Macaca mulatta: one gene and its partner. The protein of the gene in region 2 interacts with the protein of the main gene of each other region in a biochemical or structural test. Links are inferred from orthologs where the notes say so. Each region holds a gene or a part of one and is shown on either strand. Other genes may lie near its edges. The genes, in order: FGF14 and SCN8A.

Evidence for each region.
Region 1: the proteins of SCN8A (region 2) and FGF14 form a complex in vitro, tested with the Homo sapiens proteins (2 studies listed by BioGRID). The link is inferred for Macaca mulatta from reciprocal best matches to the Homo sapiens genes SCN8A and FGF14.

The regions. Positions count from the first base shown.
Region 1 is NC_133422.1:96,370,478-96,374,307, forward strand, and holds part of FGF14 (fibroblast growth factor 14), read right to left. Parts: intron 2,176-3,830; coding exon 1,977-2,175; intron 1-1,976. UniProt on the Homo sapiens protein: Probably involved in nervous system development and function.
Region 2 is NC_133416.1:58,987,232-58,991,061, reverse strand, and holds part of SCN8A (sodium channel protein type 8 subunit alpha), read right to left. Parts: intron 2,582-3,830; coding exon 1,434-2,581; 3' UTR 1-1,433. UniProt on the Homo sapiens protein: Pore-forming subunit of a voltage-gated sodium channel complex assuming opened or closed conformations in response to the voltage difference across membranes and through which sodium ions selectively pass along their electrochemical gradient.

The DNA of each region.
Region 1 (3,830 bases), on a different chromosome or scaffold from region 2:
GAGTACCAATAATCAACCAGATACTTAATTTGTCCTAACATTTCCAATAACATAATTTATATTCGGTATGGGTTTTGAAAGTTTGGAATTAATTTTCCTCTATCAAGTAAACAACGTGATAACCTCTGTCATTATAGTACCTACCCCCTTAACTCTTTTTAGAGTACTTCTAATTTTTTGAAATGAAAACTGTTGTTTCTCTCTTTCTCATATATATATATATATATATATATATATATATATATATATATATACACATACACACACAAAACACTCATATACACATAACAAACACATGAGTGAAATACCAAATACCATTCTATACTACATCATTATTGTCTCAGATATTTTCTATGGGATATGCAAAATAACTGGTTCCCAAATTTTACCTCGGTTAAATGACATAACAGCCCTTTTGGGTTTTGTTACATTTATGCAGCTAAAAGGTAAGGTTCTAAAAATCTAGTCAATTCTTAACTGTTAACAAAACATAAAATGAGTGAAAAGAGATAAAGCAAGGTGGCAAATAAACCATGGTCTTGTTAGAGCATCTGTGGCCTTATTTTTACATTTTTTATTTGCATTTAAATATTGGTGAGTCCAATGTTATCAAAATTTATTTAAAACAATGAAAGTGTATCATTGATGTGTTTTTTGGGAGGTACAGGGAAATCCTCTAACTTCTTTCTATTCTAATCATCCTTATGATCCACTATATACTGAGATAATTCACTCATATTACAGACTATGGAATAATTTGTCTTTTCCTACATAGGCCCTGGTGGCTGTTTCGGTTTCAATAAATTGTTCTACAGAAAAATATAATTAAGAGTGACAGTAAGTCAACATCATTGAAATTATAAAAGTAGTATTAGCCAACAAGAGTGATTTTCTGAATTTAGGCAAACTGAAACTTAATTATACACTCACAGATAATGAAGAATTGACTGTTCAAATTTTTTAATTTTTTTATTTCAATATAGAGAATATGCATTATGAAAACAATATGCATTTTCTCTTGATGGCTAAGTCTTTCCTGTAGGAATAAAACACAAAAAGAAAAATGAGCTGTCCAAGCTAGCTTAAAATATTTATTGAGTTATTGTAGATCTGATCTTCTGCAAAAGAGTAAACAAAAGTACTTGAATAGAAAACACATGTGAATAGCCTAAAATCAAATATTTTTGTAATTCTCAAATGTTACATAGATAAAAGTAAATGACACTTTTGGCAGAATAATTAATGAGAGAGGTGCAGATGTTGTTGATTAATTAAAAAAACTTTGTAGCCTGCTCTTTGGGTATCTGATTGAAGTAAATGTGAAGTTTCTATTCATTTGGCATGGATGACCAGATATATCCCTTCCTGTACACAAATGAATGTGGATAAATTATTTTAGTAAAAGAAGTAATGCTACAACTGTATACAGTGAAGAATTACGCAGTTTGAAAGCAGATGTTTAACATCAGCAAGTTTTTTAAGAGTCAAGCTATTATCTCTTAATTTTCTGTAATTACAATAATTCACAAGTAAGTAATTACTTTCACCTAGATATTATCAAAATGGAAAACACTTTTGATTCCACACTCAAAACTTATTTTTTTCTAATATACGTATTATCTTTTTCTAATACACTTATCACAGGTTTGTATCATTACATATTTAAAATTGTTTTAAATTAATTAATTAAATTATCTAAGAGTTAGAGTGGCTGTAGCAGTGAGGATTTGAGACACTGGAAGTGGCAGAGAAGAAATTTTTCCTGGTACACATACATATGCAAATACGGTAAAGTATATAAGGGGCACAAACTAAATGAATAACTTAAGTAGGCATCTGTGCAAGCATCACCCAGATCAAAATAAATGACATTTCCAGCATTTGTGAGGGTTTCTTATAGCCTTGGTAGACCTATCAATTTGAAAAATAAAATGTGTAATAAGTCTGTGTAATAATAATGCATACATAATACTCACCTTCCAATGGCTTGGGTAGAAAATGAGCTGCTGGTTTGGTTTTCTTTACTCTGTTCCCTTTCATAGCTTGCCCTTCCTTATTTAATCCCAAAAACCAGGCTCTACCAGATTCCTGTTGTCTGTACAGCATGGATGAGTAGATTACATAATAATTTTCAAAAACAGATTCTTTAAACTTGCATTCAGGGGTAAAAAGTTCCTGTGGAGAGAAAAGGAAACAAAGGTTAGAGGAAGGAACTTGATCTTCACTGTACATTCTATTCATTCTCTAGAACGTTTCCCAGCATGGTGAAAGAGTCCTTTGGCATGGAGGACCGGATATACCCCTTCCTGCACACAATAATTGTCTATACATTTTTTAAATATACAATAAATTGAGAAGAATCTGCTACTGTTGAGAATATACAGAAGCAAAAGTATATCATAAGAAAACAGAAGACATGAGCAAACTAAAGATTTAACTTAAACAGAAGACAGTTCAACCAGAGTATAATCAGAAAGGGATCATTAAAGTAGCATCAGATATTCACAATAAAGTGAACCAAATAAAATACACATTTCAGATATTTTATAATCCATTTTACATGTTTCCATAGGAACAGTGATACGATACTCTTAACAGCTGCCAGTTGTTCCTTGGATCACTGAAATCGTAGGGTGATACATTTTACTTCCAAAGGAACAAACTGAAACCTCAAACTAAAACCATGACAATCAGCTGGCTTACTTGCCAGCCACTAGAGCTATTGTTGTATACCAGATGAGGTCAGGTGTCATGTTAGCTGGTCATAGTGACAGGAGCTGAAAATAATTCAATGGGGCTCCAAACCTTGAACTCTTGAAGATAAACATCAAAAGCTGCTCCAACTGAAAAACCACCCAGCATTTTCGGAAAGCATACAGTTTGTTAAATACTACTATGCTCAATGCCATGGACTACATTAATTGATGAGCAGCACAAAGCTTGCTACTTTACAACTATTATTAATGTCAGAAATATTCATAGCTGATTTTTATATACTTCTTACTTTGGAATGAATAATAATGAATATAATCCCATGCAACATTAATAAAAAAATTGATAAAGGTACAATCTACATATGCATTTTTGATAGTCCTCTATTAAAAGTAAATTTGAAATTCAACCTGTCTGGTTATAAACCATGAAAGACACTTAGCTAGTTTTAAATAGGTCTAACACTGTGCTATTCTATATGTATATAAATATAGATGGAAAATAGATCCTTACTGTCCTTGATCTTTTTAAAAAATACCACTGGACTAAAAAATATACACAAAGTTTTCATTTTTCTTTAACAGATTTTATTATTGCAGAAAATAATAACTTTTGTTTTTCTTCTAAAAATGTTGTATACCCATTCTGAAAAATATTCCTTAGGGGCTAAAAACTAAAACTTTATACTAACTGTAATTAGGAACATGACCTAATGACATGTAGAAATTTCCTTTCAATATTTCCCATAAAAGTGTGAATTATCAAATGCTTTCTCATGCAGGAGACAATTTATTCAGTGTCTACATAACTTTAATTCACTGAGAGCTAATAGTTTTCCAAGGGGAACAGGCTTTGTTAGTGGCAGATGCTTTTCAAGACAAAGATGACAGTTACAATGATCAATTCGATGAAATTGCAATAGCCAAATGACAGATTTAGCCCTCTCCTGGAGCAATTTATGGAGATCATTATTTCTTCTTGATGATGCTACCTCAGATTAGAATAAGACCCCATCCAAATAAATGCTCTGGCTTTCCACTGAGTTCTGCATCTCCAAATATCCTCCTATTAGTTTTCTCACTACTAAATGACAGTCTCACTGAGTCAATGTCCAGGCC
Region 2 (3,830 bases):
CCTGCTCAGTGGAGAAATGTGATGGAGGCAGGGGAGCCATGCAGTGTGTGAGTACGCGACGACCCCTCTGCAGAAGAGAGAGGCCAGTTCAGAGTATCTGAACCCCTCGCGGCATCGACCCATGCCTGGAGAAAGCCACAATGCAGAGGACATGATACGAAATGAAATGAGCACCCCGTAACTCCCAATGAAAGGTCGTTTTAAGTTCCCCAAATTACCCCTAGAGATAACTGGTGCTACTTTGAATAGCACTTTAACTCTATCCCAAATAAGTGTCAATTCTCCAGTATGAAGGCTAAACGATCATCATAAATACTGCAAGATACAAATGAATTTTTTTTTTTAGCCCTAGGATTTGGTTTTACAGTGACATAAATAGTACAAGCCATTTGGGATCAAAGTCTCCCCCATGTACTGGACACAGAGCAGCATTAAATAGTTCATCTTGCAAAATGTGCAACAATGGCTGTATGTTAGAGATGTCTGTTAAACATATACACACAACGGATCCATCTGCTTGTTGGATTGGGTTTGTTTTTTGTTGGTGGTGGTGTTAGTCAATTAGTTGGTTATTTCCCTACCCAGAAGGTGTATGAAGGACTTTTAAGAACTCATAATAAAGAATTATAGCCGGTATGGAACTCTTACCATTTTCTCCAAATACAGTGAACGGTGCAGGGCTGGGTCCTGTCCAAAGGCTGACCCAATGCAAGGGACTAGATTAGTAGTGTCCTGTGGTGTATGGATCTCATGCATGACTTCTGATCACGGCATGCCATCATGCAAATCATTTCTACGCATTGAACGAGCACAATGTTTGGAATCGGCCTGAGCAAGTCCTCCTCAGCCTGAAGAAACCTGATTGTTTTCCCCCACCCATCTCCAAACCATGTGAAGCCCATGTGGAGAAGATGCGCTTTATGTCAAAGAAACTGACAATTAAATGACATGGGCTAAATGTGAGTGTGTGTGTGTGTTTTCTTTTTGCTGCTTAGCTTAACTAATGTAAGAATGCAAATATAGTTTGCATGAACAAACGAACTTTTAAAGTGATGCCTTCTGCTTCTGAGAATCAATAAAATGAAAAAATAAAATCCATTTGGCTGCAACGGAAATACGCTGGTCCCGGCAGCCTCTCTTCTGTTTCTGTATCTGGTTAGTTTTGTCCTAAGTTGCATTGACTGATGTGGAACATGCAGTAACCACCTGCCCAAGCATTAGAAAATCTGTGAGTCTAGGGAGCGGGGTCCTTTGCCCTTGGCAGGTCACTGCTCAAGATGCAGCTGTGTTATGTGGTAAGCAGACGACGTTTGGTATAGATCTTCAGGTTAGAGTCTCCACAGCTGTTCTGCATTGATAATATTCAGGAAGTTTGTAAACAATCTTTCACTTGCGAGTTTTAGATCTGTATAATACTGAATTTTTGTTCTCCTCTAACACTTGGATTCTCTGACCTCTTTTTGTCTTTTGGTTCTTTCCCTTCTTCCTTCCTCTGCCCGCTGCTGTTTCTCCTTTTCAGGTTTAGTTACACTGTCATAGGACGGGAGGGAGGCTGTAGATGGGGTGCTCTCTTTTTTCTCCCGGTGTGTGCCTCCATTCTCCAGCTTATTAGAAGTTGTCTTTTTGCAGATGAAGCCCCGCCTTGCCAAATGTCCCCGGTAGGCACGCTGCAGGACCACCGCAGATACCTCCTCCTGCTTGCGGCGCAGCGTGGTTGTGATTGGCTCGTAAGACACTTTGGAAGGATTGGATGCCACGAACCGCTCTTCCATCTGCTGCCGCAGGATGTCCAACTCCCCGCTATCTCCCAGGACCCGCTTGGTGAAGGCAAAAAGGATGTCCAAGCAGTGGATGCGATCCCCGCTCACCATTGGCAGATCCATAGCGATGAGCTCAATGGTATTGGGCTTGGGCACTCGGAGAGGATGCTCCAAGGCATCTGCAAAGTCTGCCAGCTTACAGTACTCAATGAACTGGGTAGCATCAGGGTCGAACTTCTCCCAGATCTCATAGAAGGTCTCAAAGTCATCCTCACTCAGAGGGTCTGCACTTTCCTCTGTGGCTACACTGAAGTTCTCCAGGATGATGGCAATGTACATGTTCACGACAATTAGGAAGGAGATGATGATGTAGCTTACAAAGAAGAAGATGCCCACTGAGGGGTTCCCACAATCTCCCTTAAAGCCACTCCCTGGGTGTTCCTTATCTAGGCTGCAGTCAGGGGGGCGGTTTAGGATGGGCAGCAGCAGGCCATCCCAACCAGCTGAGGTTGTGATTTGAAACAGGCAGATCATGCTGTTGCCAAATGTCTCAAAGTTGAACATGTCATCAATACCAGCCTCGTGCTTCACATATGCAAAATTGGACATCCCAAAAATGGAGAAGATGAACATGACCAGGAAGAGCAGAAGGCCGATGTTGAACAGGGCAGGCAAGGACATCATTAAGGCAAAGAGCAGGGTACGAATCCCTTTGGCACCTTTGATCAGACGCAAGATGCGCCCAATACGGGCCAATCGGATGACTCGGAATAGGGTTGGGGAAACAAAGTATTTCTCAATTATATCTGCCAGGAACATTCCTAAGAAGAGGAATAGAAGACGTTATGTTATTGAGATTGGAGACACCCTTTCTCTTTACTTTTTTTACCTGGCACTGTGGAACCCTTAGGTTCAAAGGGCTTTGCAGAATAAGTGCCTTACTATTCAGTCTGAACTCTCAAAAAGTGACATTTTGGCTGGGCATGGTGGCTCACGCCTGTAATCCCAGCACTTTGGGAGGCCAAGGCAGGTGGATTACTTGAGGCCAGGAGTTGGAGACCAGCCTGGCCAACATGGTGAAACCCTGTTTCTACTGAAAATAAAAAATTAGCTGGGCATGGTGGTGCACATCTGTAATTCCAGCTACTTGGGAGGCAGAGGCACAGGGATCACTTGAACCCGGTAGGTGGAGGTTGCAGTAAGCCGAGATCATGCCACTGCACTCCAGCCTTGGTGACAGAACAAGACTCCTGTCTCCAAAAAAAAAAAACCCAAACAAACAAACAAACAAAAAAAGTGACGTTTTAAACATACAGAAAAGTAGACAATAAAATAGACACCTATGTGCCAAACACTGCATAACTAACACACAAATTTGTTTTTTGATGCTGTTTTTTGTTTTGAGATGGGGTCTTGCTATGTTGCCCAGGCTGGTCTCAAACTTCTTGGCTCAAGTGATCCTCCTACCTCAGACCTCCCGAGTAACTGGGATGGAGCAAAGATTTAATACAGGCTAGCATTTTGCCAATTTTTCTTCCTCTTTCATCATTCCCAGATGAAGCATCCACAATCCTGAAGATGGTATGTATCATTCTAGTGTGTGTGTTTATAGATTTACTATGTAAGAATCCTATATAATTTCCTACTATGGTTAGGAAATTATACTGTATCTGTCTTATTGATTTAGTTTAAACATTTTGTAGAGATGGGGGTCTTGCTATGTTGCCCAGGCTGTTCTTGAATGCCTGGGTTCAAGCAGTCCAATCCTCCCTCCTCAACCTCCCAAAGTCCTGGGATTACAGGTGTGAAATGCCACATCCAGGCTGTATCTGTCTTCTGAGGTCCATCTGTTTAGGTCTCTACCTTGTTTTTGAGATTTAACATTACAATTGTGAGACTGATCCCTCATGTTGAAATAATTTTAGATTATTCATTCTAACAATTGAGTGGTATTCCCTTTTATGAATAGGTCCTCATTTACTTGTTTTTCTACTCAAGAATGATTAGTTTTTTTTTTCCAGATTTGTGCACATATGATTTTCTAAGATGTTACTAATACTATCCACAATG